Drosophila melanogaster: one gene and its partner. The protein of the gene in region 1 interacts with the protein of each later gene in a pairwise test. Each region holds a gene or a part of one and is shown in the gene's direction. Other genes may lie near its edges.

What was found. Proteins that work in one complex are often made in the same cells at the same time.
Region 2: the proteins of Mcr (region 1) and egg interact in a two-hybrid assay, tested with the Drosophila melanogaster proteins (one study listed by BioGRID).

Annotation. Positions count from the first base shown.
Region 1 is NT_033779.5:8,079,371-8,085,577, reverse strand, and holds the start of Mcr (macroglobulin complement-related), read left to right. Parts: upstream 1-2,595; 5' UTR 2,596-2,767; intron 2,768-4,965; 5' UTR 4,966-4,967; coding exon 4,968-5,815; intron 5,816-5,910; coding exon 5,911-6,207.
Region 2 is NT_033778.4:24,774,385-24,781,656, reverse strand, and holds egg (eggless), read left to right. Parts: upstream 1-1,755; 5' UTR 1,756-1,843; coding exon 1,844-2,782; intron 2,783-2,840; coding exon 2,841-2,958; intron 2,959-3,029; coding exon 3,030-3,313; intron 3,314-3,366; coding exon 3,367-3,622; intron 3,623-3,684; coding exon 3,685-4,190; intron 4,191-4,248; coding exon 4,249-5,010; intron 5,011-5,081; coding exon 5,082-5,798; intron 5,799-5,856; coding exon 5,857-6,063; 3' UTR 6,064-6,123; downstream 6,124-7,272. Other genes in the region: CG3594 (uncharacterized protein), read right to left, coding at 1-699; Lcp9 (larval cuticle protein 9), read left to right, coding at 1,288-1,299, 1,356-1,622; Eps-15 (epidermal growth factor receptor pathway substrate clone 15), read left to right, coding at 6,684-6,749, 6,844-7,080, 7,152-7,272. UniProt on the Drosophila melanogaster protein: Histone methyltransferase that specifically trimethylates 'Lys-10' of histone H3 (H3K9me3) in ovary. H3K9me3 represents a specific tag for epigenetic transcriptional repression by recruiting Su(var)205/HP1 to methylated histones.

The DNA of each region.
Region 1 (6,207 bases):
GATAAAAAATGAAATAATAAGCGGGCATTGGGAGAGGGGTGTCAATTTAATTGCCTTAATTAAAAGGCTTAGAAAAACAAGACTGAGTTCCATCATCATCGCAATCGAATTCATGCGTTCCTCTTTATTTCGCCAACAGGGTTTACTTAGATGTGTGTATCTCGGTGTTGTCATCAATGCTGTGTACAGTGAAGCCGTCTTCAAATCGAAATAGATAGAAAACGGTTACAATCCGGGTTGTGATTTGAATCATCTAAAAACTACAGGCAAACTTCTTGAGTAAAAACCTTTGGCACACGAGGAATTATTTCTGAATTTCTCGAAGGTAAAGTTTTCAACACAGAACCATTAACTTTAAAAGCCAGCAAACCCCAAAAGATGACCAATGCAATATATAATTCCTTGCTTTGTTTGCTTTTTTTTTAGCCCAAAAAACACAATTTGGTTTCCATTTAAGGACAAAGTGCGTGTAATCCGCAAAGTATGCTATAAGAACGAATGTTTAAGATGTCCCAATAAGACTAGTGTTTGAAATCCAGCATTTCTTTAAAGTATCCTACCATAAACGGATTGCAACCCACTGTGCCCGCGATCGCCGAGGTATGCAATGGAATTTGATATGGCCAACAGCTCTGGGGTAACCACAATAAAGAACGAGTTTATCTATTCTGAGCCGCTGTTCATTAGCCGAGAGCCCTCACTGTATCGATGTTGATGTTGGTGTGTCATGGCAGGCTGGATGACGTGATTGTCTCCTCTCCTCTTCGCTGCTCTGCTCTTCTCTTCCCCTTCCACGCTCTCCCACTCTCTTGCTCGATGGCTTTTCTCCTTTCTCTGCGCCCGCATATGATTAAAACGGCAAAACAAGATAAAACTCGTTGGAGCAAAGGAGCTGCTGCCGCCTGCTTGTTGGCTTTGTTGTTGTTGCTGTTGGATAGGCCCTGCGAGTGGGTCAGTGTTCGAAAAGGGTGTGAGGTTGCGGGTGGGGGTGGTGGGTAAGTAGGGGGTTGTGGGAGGTAGAATATACGCATGACACTCCTTGCCGCCGCACACACACACACTTGCAAAGATACACCAACACTAGCGGAGCACGCGACACACGCACACGAGGTCACTCACACAGGCGCAGGGCCGTATTCCCCAACACCCACACAATCGCACGCGTTAAATGTTATTAGTTTATTTACGGTATTAACAAAATGTTATTGGCATGAATAGTGTAGTACATCGTACATCATGCATCACACTGGAGTATGTACATCAGAGCAGGGAAAACACCCACACACAGACACGGATATGGTTTTTAAGCACTTTTCGGCATTGTGACAGTAACGCGTTGGGGATTTTAGTTACTGGGTTTCCATTTTCATTTCATTTCTTTTCTTTTGTGGCAAAGGAAGGGGGTGTCTTTATATTTCTCTTTTTCGCTTTCTTCTTGCTTTTTGAGCAGCGATGACGACAGCGTGCGCGGCTCTTTTTCCCAACGCTGCTCCGCTTTTTTGCCTTCAATAACATTTACACTTTGCACTATTTATGTAATAGTTTTTCAATCGGTGCGCGGTGTTTCATCTCAGCACGATTTTCGGGCACTGGCTGGCGAGCACTAGCCGCAGACTGGGTTACGAATTATGTACATTTTTCACATTTTTCCCCGATGATTTTTCTTTTGTGTTTTACTACCAATGAAGAGAACAAACTACCAATACACACGCACGCACTCTCGCACACACACTCACTGAGCACGCACTGACACACACACATGCCACCGCTCAATGACGAAATTCCTCGCAAAGCGTTGACAACTCTAGGTTCTAGCTCTCCCAGCTCCACTGCTTTTGCTTCTGCTGCGTGTGCGAGTGTGTGTGTGTGAGAGAGAGAGAGAGATGGGTACTTGTGCTGGTGTGCTTTTCGTCATAATTTTTGCGTTGGGCAACCCAGCACCTTTGACTTCTTGGCGACTTTTCACACGTAAATGACCGAGGGGGCTCACACTTTCACCGCTGGCACACAGACTGGGCCTTAAACCGATCGACTTTGCACAATTTTTCGCATTTACCTAGCACACAAAACACAAAAATTCGATTTTTTCCTCGCTGATATTTTCACGCGAATGACCTTACATCACATGCATACAATACACACACACACAGACAACTGAAGCGGTGGTATGACCAAGGCTTATAGTCAAATAGTAGCAAAAATACTGAACGATATATACTAAAAAGACTATAGAATGCCATTATCCAACACTGGCGCTGAGCGGATGAAGTTTTGCCATCTCTGTCTTACTCCCAGGCTAAGAACTAAATTCCCTCATATATTCTAGCAATATGTTATTCTTAGAATTCTGTGGAAACACGTAAATTATAACTGGTTCGCAGATTAAGCTTAAACTTAGTTAATAAATAAAAATACGCTTTTCTGATAAACTTTTGTAACGTTATGAGCTTACTTCCTTTGTTCCTAATTTATTATGACATTAAAATCATTAGGAATTATAAAATTTTCACATCAGCAGTTTGAACTCGCAGTGCGACCGTTAAATTCTTAGCGTTCTGGCCACACCTGAAATCTGGTATTGTGCCAATCTCTGCGAACGGTCACACTGCATCAGTCATCAAAGCGGGTGTGGATCGCTGTTGGTTTTGTGTTGTTTCATTTTTTCGAATCTTTGAGTTCCCGAGTTAGTTTTATTTACCTTTCTGTTGTTTAATAAAATGTGCATGGCCTGCTGAGCAGCCAGATTAGATCGAATTTCAGTACCGAGGTGAGTAGAAATGGCTTTTCGGAGCTCTTCCACTTGGCGACCCGCCCAAAAATCGTGTGTTTGGCCGTCTCCAAAATGCCTAAGCCAGTGTTATTGTGTTGTTGCTGTTGTTGTTGTTGGCACATGGGCGTTGACCGAAAAACGAAGAAGTGCCTCAAATATTGGTTACAACTTTGTACTATGTGCTCGTTGCTTTAATTAGTAATTGTAAAGGAAGTTTTTCGTTAGGAACACTTTGCCACTAAAAGGAAATGTGAGTGAGGATGGCGTTTTGGCCACCTGCTGGCCAATTGGATTGCGGCGTCTTCTTTCGTTTTTCTGCCTTCAAGCTCTCGAATTTCCGCCAACAGTTGCTCCTTTGGCCGCCCAAAATGTCCTGCCTGCTGTTTCAATTGCACTTTTGCCCTCTCAACTCATTTCGAATGGGTCTTCTCGGCTAATTAATGCCCACTTTACTTGTGTATTACGCTGGTGCTGGTGCGCCCTCTTGCACTGGAAAAAGTGATGTCAAATATATTTGTTATATAGAAATGTTATACCGAAATGGCATTTTTAAACGAAAGAAAACTCTATAAAAAGATTTTTTTAAATAACAAAATTCAATATTTTTTTTTATAATGAAAAATATTTATATTTTTAATATGAAAAATCCCATTTAATCAAGATCTTATTTATTTCAAAAGGTGAAAAAAATAAATCTAGTAAACTATTTTCTCTCTGTGTAGCTGTGCGCAAAGGGTGGATTACAAGTCGCGTTGTTGAAATTATTACGAGTTCGGTATTTGTTTTCACCGCCGAGAGTAGAGACTGGCCTATAGGCCAGTAACTTCTGCTGCTTCAGTGCACAGAGTATCTCGCCCAGGCCGATATCTATGGTCAGGTAGCCGGTTGTTTCATTTGCGTGTTTCGCTCAGTTCCAGTGGTCTACCTTTACCTTCATTTGCTCGCCAGTGAATGCATTTCAAATGCAGCCAGCCACACACACACACGCACTCCCTCCATCCATCCTTCAATTTCATTTCACCTCACTTGTCTAGAAGTCGGTGCCGGTGCCTCATTGTTCTCCTGGCGTGGACCCTTTTTGTATGGTTGCCATTAAGCGTTGACTTCTTACCCTACACCATGGAGTTAATACCTGAGTAGGGAGGATTTCGAGGTCCTTGCTCGAATGATGTATTCCCTGTGTGCCGGCTGATTGTGTGCTGATAAGCTGGAATACTTAAATATGCGCATTTTTTAATGTTGCACACATTTCTCCACCAGCAATTTGCAAAAAAAAAATAAATAATTTTTAAAAATGAATTTTTTAAGAACTCCTAAGAACTGTTTTAATTGAGTTCAAACGTTCCTTACAATTTGTCATACTTTTGAATTTTAAGTAGATTAAATTAAAAGTTCACATCATTATTGATATGAAAAATTGTCTATAGTATAGTATGGGTATATTCATAATTATTCCTCGAAAATCAAAGTGGTTTGTGAAGCTGAGATTTCGTAATCTCTTATAAATCAACCATAAATAACGAAGGCATTAAAAACCCATTCAAAAGAAGATTCGAACGCCTCAAATCCCAGCGTGGCATACATCTCTGCTGTCTAATTGCGCCGCCCACTTGAATGACATTTTACTTAATGTTTGACATAGTTTCCATATTGCCGCTGGCCCCTTAAAAAGATCTCCCTGAAGATACGTTCATTGCTCCTGCCGGATCGCGTCTATAGTCTATTAATACCGATGTCGGCGCCCTCATTAACGACTTGTTCGCATCACGCGGAAATCAACCGACCAACAACAATCCTCGAACATGAGATGCGGTCCATGACTTAGGGATTAGGGTGCTTTGGAAATACATATATGCGAAAAATTTAAAAAAATCTTAAGTACTTAACTACAGGCTATATTTAAAACAAAGTATTGGTAGGAGGTTATGCACTTATTTTTAAAGAGCAGCTTATTCAGGGATGTTAAAAGTGATTCTTATTCAATATCACAAAAAAACTTCATACAAAGCTTACTATTTTTTATCGAAAAATCGAATAAACTCGAAAATTTGTTTTGAAAACCATTGATACACCCTATTCGACAGGCATTAAAGAACAGGCCGATCACCCAAATCAGAGGCCTCTATTTATAGTATTTGGGAGATGCATTTATGCCCAGCGATTCTAATTCATTCACTTCTGACTTCTCCTCTCAGCAATGATGTGGCACTTGCTGCGCGCCCTGCTCGTGGTAGCCGCCGTCTTGGATGCACTGCAACCGGCGGTCGGACAAAACGACAACTACTACAACCCCAACCAGAACCAGCAGAATCCCCAGCAGCCGCTACTGCCCAACCAGCAGTGGGGTAACAATCCACAGACGAATCAGTATAGCAACAACAACCAAAACTTTGGCCAAACGAATCCCAGTGATCGCCCGCCGTACAGGACCGATTCGGGGAGCTACAACGATATTGCCGGGCAAGATGACTATAATAAACGAGTGGGAGGAGGCTATCAGGACAACGAGGAGCCGAGTCTGACTCGTGGAAAGTCGTCCTATAACATCAAGGCCACCTTCCTGGAATCGCTGCATTCCAGGGAGCCCACTTACTTCATTGTGGCATCTCGAATGGTCAGACCTGGTCTAATCTATCAGGTGTCCGTATCCATTCTTCAAGCTCAGTACCCGATAACCGTTCATGCCAGCATCGCGTGCGATGGTGTCCAAATCAGCGGAGACTCTAAGGATGTCAAGGAGGGCATACCGGAGACGTTGCTCATGAGGATCCCACCAACTAGTGTGACTGGAAGCTATAAGCTTCGAGTGGAAGGTTTCTACCAGAACGTTTTCGGTGGCCTCGCCTTCCTGAACGAAACAAGACTAGACTTCTCACAGCGCTCCATGACGATATTTGTGCAGACCGATAAGCCTCTTTATATGCAAGGGGAAACTGTGCGATTTAGGACCATTCCGATCACCACCGAACTGAAGGGATTTGACAATCCCGTCGATGTGTACATGCTGGATCCAAACAGGCATATTCTTAAACGTTGGCTATCGCGGTAAGTGGAATTATTATATTTCATACGTCTTAATAGTTCCTCTCCATCAACAAATTAAATTGCAAATAAACAACCTATTTCCTTTTAACTTTCAGTCAATCAAACTTGGGTTCCGTTTCGCTGGAGTACAAACTTTCGGATCAGCCCACTTTTGGAGAATGGACTATCCGTGTAATAGCTCAGGGACAGCAAGAGGAGAGTCACTTCACCGTGGAGGAATACTATCAGACCCGATTCGAAGTGAATGTTACCATGCCTGCGTACTTCTTCACAACGGATCCGTTTATCTACGGAAGGGTGATGGCTAACTTTACCAGTGGCCTACCAGTTAGAGGCAATCTCACAATCAAGGCCACGATCCGCCCAATTGGATACTTCAGCAACCAAGTTCT
Region 2 (7,272 bases), on another chromosome or scaffold:
CTTGGCCTTCTCCTTTTTCAGGTCCTTGTCGTAAAACTTGCCGCTCTTCGTGAAGGTCTTCTGCTCGTTGCGCATCTCGGCCAGCTTTCGGTTCTTCTGTTTGATGATGTTCTTCTTGTTGGCCGACTTCTTCTTGCCCGCCTCGGAGATCTGCACCTTGATGTTGCGTCCCTGCAGCTCTGTGTTGTGCAGCTGGAAGGCATTCTGGAAACTGCTTAGGTCGGCCATTTCCACAAAGGCGAAGCCCCCTCGTCGCTTCTTGGGAATGCGGATAGACTTGACCGTGCCTGCCGCAGAGAAGTGCAGCTCCAGGTCGTCCTTTGTGGTTTCGAAGTTCAGGTTCGTCACGTACAGGACGTGTCTGTTGGTTTTGGAGGCTCCTCGAAGCAGTGAACTCAGCTGGTCACTGGTTATCTGCCCATTTTCCGCAGATTCCTCTTCCTCGGCTCCGGAAGCAGCACTGCCCTCAGCGGCTGCCTCGTCGTCGGACTTGGCCTCATCCTCGCTCTTACTATCCTCCGGGTCACTGGGATTCCGTCCGTCCTCCTTGTCCACATACGTGCCCTCGAAGATCTCCCTTCGCTTCTGGTCATCGAAGTTTCCCAATAGATCCGCACTGTCGTCGTTGACTGTGCGTTGAACTCGCTTGGGATTGAAGAAAGCCTCCACCTCATAATCGCTGCCAGAATCACTGGCCATCGTGATATTTCTGGGGGAGATTGCAGTGCACACCGATACGCAGACACCACCACGTGGGATTCCCTCTGAATGGCAAATCTGTGCGGTCCCAGACATTTTCCAGCACTGGCTAATTGCGCGCCAAGAAATTCAAATCCCAGGCCATATTGCAATCGCAGCTTGTTAGAAACCGGTTGCAACTGCGGGAGCAAAATCAGACTGCTAATGGAGTTATGCGAAAATAATGCTAATCGGCGTTAGCATCGAAGGAACCGGTTAGCTCTTATCAGCTAAAAATTAATCGTGCGGTGCTGACAATTGATGAACGTGGTTGTTTTGGGAATCTTCCGCACAGATCTCCAAAGATAACCCCCCGAATATGATATGCCGAGTGGGGCGATAATTAATGCCTGCAGAATGACTGCATCTATGTCTTTTGTTTAATTAAGACAAACGACCGCTGGGAGCCAGTTATGAAGAAAATTTATGCAGTTGGTGATTCCGGCCGGTAAAATGTCAGTGGAGAGCTACATATAAAAGCGCAATTTTCGGCAACCAGCAGTCAAAATTTTATCGCTATCTATCAGCACACACATCCCCTTTCCAACCATGAAGTTTGTGGTAAGTGGCATCGAAATTAGATTTTGGGGACCTCTGAACAACGATTTGTCTTTTAGATCGTTCTTGCCTGCCTTTTGGCCGTGGTCTTCGCCAACGAGGAGGCTGATGTTGTAAAGAGCGACTCCGAGGTTAACTTGCTGGACTTTAACTACGCTTATGAGCTATCCAACCATATTCGCGCCGTGCAAACTGGAGCCTTGAAGGAGCACGACAACTGGGTGGTTTCCGGGGAGTACGAGTACGTGGCCCCCAACGGCAAGACCGTCAAAGTGGTCTACACCGCCGATGAAACCGGCTACCACCCAAAGGTCGTCGAGGCCTAATGAACAGGACCCACTCCCGAAGACCGAAATAAAAAATTAAATCCATTGCAGCAGCGAACATTTTGAATTTCCGTTCTTTTTCTTTTGTGTGAATAGACACTCTTCTTCTTTCTGCCACTAAAATCTAGGGCTGGCAAATTACGAGCGAAATTTTATACAATGTTATCGCTTGTCTCGCAAATTTGCATTAATGTGTAAAGTTAAGTAAACTCATTAAAACTATGTCTGGGCAGCCAACAGCCGTGGACTGCTTAGAGAGCAGTGGAAGCACAGTGGAGGATGTCCAAGAAACACCGGCGTCGAGGGAAAAAAGTTACGGGTTGCCGGTGCGCAAAGGAGAAAATAGCTTGGAGTCTCCTGCAGAACAAGCCGCAAAGGATGTGGAAATTGAGGAACTGACACACAGTGAAGCAATCGCCGCCACCGGTTCAACCAGGAAGCAGTGCCCATATGGAGGTAAGGCCCCTGATGAACCTGGAAAGTTGGCCGACGAATCGGAGGACCGCAAGGGAGAGAACACGAAAGCCATTGCAAGCAGCCCGGTTTTGGTAGCTGTGGATTCGGACAGCAGTGTTGAGCTAATAGAGAGTCCTGTCAAATTCTCCTCCGCCAACGAAAGTGAGAAAGATCCGCCAAAACCAGATGCTGTCAATGAAGCTGCGGCTAAAGAGGCCGAGGAAATGACTGATAGCAGCATCAGCAGTCCCACATCCGAAAGTTTTCCTGAAAAAGATGAAAAGACCAATAAGGAAAATGAGCAAGAACCTCCTGGCATGGAGGTAGATCAGGACGTCGAGGAGTCAATAAGTCGACCAGCAGAAGAATACAAAATTGAGAATACATTAAAAGGTCACAAGCGTATTAGCTTAACGGAAATCGAAGAACACAAAATTGTTGATAAAAAAGACGATGTCCTAGAGGTGGAGCTTGAAAAGGGCACTGCTCCGAAAGCTGCAGAAGACGAGAAGCTGAACGCTTTGTTATCAGATGGAGATGTCTTCTACGACAAGGAATGTGTCAACTGCAATTGCACAAAGCTTCATAAACAGTACGTGTTGGCTAACATGGCCACTTTAAACTTTTACCAGGTGCTCCGAAAGTCTTCCAAGCAGCAGTTCCTCTGCATGGGATGCCATGACACAGCAATGGACTTGTATGAGGTCAACTAGCATATTTATTAACTTAAGAGGGAAACTTAGAACGTATTTCTTTATTTAGGAGTATGCTGGACAACTAATGGCCAAGCAGCCGCTGCTGCTAAAGGATTTCCATCAGGATCACGCCGACTTTGTGGCTCTGGACAGCAGCGATGAGGAGGAAGAGGAGAAGCAGCCAGGTGAGACTGCTATCATGATAAATAAACAATAGCAAAAAAAAAAACGTACTAAATATATTTTATCCGCACAGAAAAATCGGACTTTTCGAAAAACAAGCTGCAGCTCATCGAAGATGAACTCGATGATGCCATCAAAAATGTACTTAACAAGGTGGATTTTACGGCTCAGCTGTCCTGGTCAAAAACTATTCTCCAGGCGAAAGCAGACCACTTGGAGCGACAATTCGCACTGGCAGATGTGGAACTCGAAAAAGTTCAGACCACCGCTGACAAAATGCACTGCGCTTTGTATAACTCGTGTCCGGTGGCACACAAACATCTGCCCACCCTGGACATTGAACCCAGTGACTATGTGGTAAGTAAGAAGTGATGCCGTTTGGATCTGATTTAATACAACCATTTACTCAGCATGAAGTTCCACCTCCTGGCGAAATCGTGCGTCCTCCAATACAGTTGGGAGAGACATACTACGCTGTTAAGAACAAGGCTATTGCCAGCTGGGTGTCCATAAAGGTAATCGAGTTTACAGAGAGCACCGCCATCAACGGAAACACGATGAAGAGCTACAAGATTAGGTACCTCAACACTCCGTACCAGATGATCAAGACAGTGACGGCCAAGCACATTGCCTACTTCGAACCACCGCCAGTGCGACTGACCATTGGTTAGTTCCCAATAGACCGGTTATTTATCAATCTATAAACTAACCCACTCATTGTGCACTAGGTACCCGCGTGATTGCGTACTTCGATGGCACCACTTTGTCGCGGGGCAAGGATAAGGGCGTGGTGCAGAGCGCCTTTTATCCAGGCATCATCGCTGAGCCGTTGAAGCAGGCCAATCGCTACCGCTACCTAATATTCTACGACGATGGGTACACTCAGTACGTTCCGCACCGCGATGTCCGTCTAGTTTGCCAGGCTTCCGAGAAAGTGTGGGAGGACGTACACGCCGCATCGCGCGATTTCATACAGAAGTACGTGGAGAAGTACTCCGTGGATCGTCCAATGGTGCAATGCACCCGGGGACAAAGTATGACCACTGAATCGAACGGGACCTGGCTGTACGCGCGCGTCATTGACATCGACTGCAGCTTGGTGTTGATGCAGTTTGAGGGCGACAAAAACCATACGGAGTGGATATACAGGGGTTCATTGCGCTTGGGTCCTGTCTTCAGGGAAACCCAGAACAATATGAACAGTTCAAGCGCACAGCAGCTGCGTGTCCCAAGAGTAAGCATCGTGTCGATTCATCCTGCGGTCCTAACTACAAAATGTCTTTCTTTTTCAGCGCACGGAGCCCTTTATTCGGTACACCAAGGAGATGGAGTCCAGCAGCAAGGTGAACCAGCAGATGCGTGCCTTTGCCCGCAAGAGCAGCGCCTCCGCCCAAAATAACGCATTAGCGGCTGCATCTTCGGCAGCAACCCCAGCCGGAGGACGCACCAATGCAGGAGGTGTCAGCACCAGTAATAGCGCAAGTGCTGTGCGACACCTAAACAACTCGACAATCTACGTGGACGACGAGAACAGGCCCAAGGGCCATGTAGTCTACTTTACAGCCAAGCGGAATCTGCCTCCCAAAATGTACAAGTGCCACGAGTGCAGCCCGAACTGCCTCTTTAAGATCGTTCACCGTCTGGACAGCTACAGTCCGTTAGCGAAGCCTCTGCTTTCTGGCTGGGAACGTCTTGTCATGCGGCAGAAGACCAAGAAGTCTGTGGTATACAAGGGACCTTGTGGCAAAAGCTTGCGCAGCCTGGCCGAAGTTCACAGGTACCTTCGAGCTACTGAAAATGTGTTGAACGTAGACAATTTTGACTTTACGCCCGACCTCAAGTGTCTGGCCGAGTACTCCATTGATCCCTCGATCGTGAAGGACACGGACATTTCAAAGGGGCAGGAGAAGATGGCGATTCCGCTGGTAAACTACTACGACAACACCCTGCCGCCCCCATGCACCTACGCGAAGCAGCGCATCCCTACCGAGGGTGTTCATCTGAATCTGGACGAGGAGTTCCTCTTGTGCTGCGACTGCGAGGACGACTGCTCGGTAAGACGTCTTACAGATCTGATTACCTCAAATTATACCCAGCCGCCCACTATTTTGTGTATCCCTATCAGGACAAGTCAAAGTGCGCCTGTTGGCAGCTAACGGTGGCGGGCGTGCGGTACTGTAACCCGAAGAAACCCATCGAGGAGATAGGCTACCAGTACAAGCGGCTCCACGAGCACGTGCCCACCGGCATCTACGAGTGCAACTCGCGCTGCAAGTGCAAGAAGAATTGCCTGAACCGGGTGGTGCAGTTCTCCCTAGAGATGAAACTGCAGGTGTTCAAGACCTCAAATCGTGGATGGGGCTTGCGCTGCGTTAACGACATCCCCAAGGGTGCTTTCATCTGTATTTACGCCGGCCATCTGCTCACGGAGACGATGGCCAACGAAGGCGGACAGGACGCCGGCGACGAGTATTTCGCGGACTTAGATTACATAGAGGTCGCTGAACAGTTAAAAGAGGGATACGAGTCGGAGGTGGACCACTCGGACCCGGACGCCGAGGAGGACAACGGGGGACCCGATGCCGAGGACGATGACGACTTCCGGCCAAACTATCACTACCAGCGCAAAATCAAGCGCTCTTCCAGAAGCGGCTCCACGCAGAACAGCTCCACTCAGAGCAGCGAGTTGGACTCGCAGGAGCGTGCGGTGATCAACTTTAACCCAAATGCTGATCTGGACGAGACGGTGCGGGAGAACTCGGTGCGGAGGCTTTTCGGCAAGGACGAGGCGCCCTACATCATGGACGCCAAGACAACGGGCAACCTTGGACGCTATTTCAACGTGAGTTGGAAGTTTTTTGTTATTTTGCCGTGTGGCTGATTCTCTTCTTCTCCCGCAGCACTCGTGCAGCCCCAATCTCTTCGTGCAGAACGTGTTCGTGGATACTCACGACCTGCGTTTCCCCTGGGTTGCCTTCTTCTCGGCCGCGCACATCCGCTCCGGCACCGAGCTGACTTGGAACTACAATTACGAGGTGGGCGTGGTGCCCGGCAAGGTGTTGTACTGCCAGTGCGGGGCCCCCAATTGCCGCCTTCGTCTGCTCTAAGTTCTAGCTTAAGTTAGAGATCCATACAGGAAATATACTCATTAAAGAAGAATTAGAATTAAAAATTTAAACTTTAAACATTATCTGTTCCGTTAGGGTAACGGAAACATTGCATTTTTATAAGCTACTGCTGTTCTGCACCGTCCGTTTCAAAGTACACAATTTTCTTCACGTTTAGTGTTAAAGGAATAAATATAGACAAATGAATTTTAAAAAATTATACTTTAAAAAAATAATAATGTTCGTTAATTTAACGGTATTAATTTATGTGGTATTTTAACGCATTTTACCTAGTGGTATACTTAATCATCAGCCGTACGGTATTTTTAATCGTTATCCGAACGGTCACACTATCCACCGAGCAAAAAAGCAAATTTAGGCTTTTTAAAATTCGAGAGTAGCTAAATTAGGGGCCGCAATGCGCCAAGCTCACCTGTAAGTGGCTCCAGCAAGTGTCTCGTCGCAGGTGCACAGGTGCTAGGCAGCAGGACTCCGCCGACGGCTGACTAAGAGCAGCTTATCCGCCCCTTGGGAAGAAAAAATCGATTTTGTGATAACGGGCTTACGCTTACGCGTTTTTGCACTGCTAGTCGGAACCAATTGCCAGTAGACTCCACACCATGAATGTGGACTTTGCGAGGGTGTGCGGGAAGCACATAGGCGTCTACGAGGCCTACTACAAACTGGTAAGCGCACCACGCCTCCAAGCCGCACTGTTACCAGGATGGCGGCCAATGTTGAGCATCCGTATCCACACCCACCCTCTATCGATTTTTGCAGATTGACCCCAAAGGCACAGGGGCAATCGAGGCCATGACTGCGGCCAAGTTTCTCAAGAAGTCGGGCCTTAGCGACGTTGTGCTAAGCAGGATCTGGGACCTGTCTGATCCGAGCGGCAAGGGCTTTCTGGACAAGCCGGGCTTTTTTGTAGCCCTTAAGCTGGTGTCCCTGTCGCAGGCGGGACAGGTGGCCAGCATGGCCAACATCTACCTGGACATTGCCAACCCGCCCAAGTTGGTGAGTAATCGCAACTTCGCCCGAAATGGGCAAGACGAGATATATTACATTAATGTCGCCCCAATCGCCAGGGTGAACTACCAAAAACGATGCCGTCGCGTATTCAGACTGTTCCCGTTGCTAGCGGCGGAGTGGCAAACGGAGACTGGTCCATCGGGGTGATCGATCGGCTCAAGTACGAGCAGCTCTTCG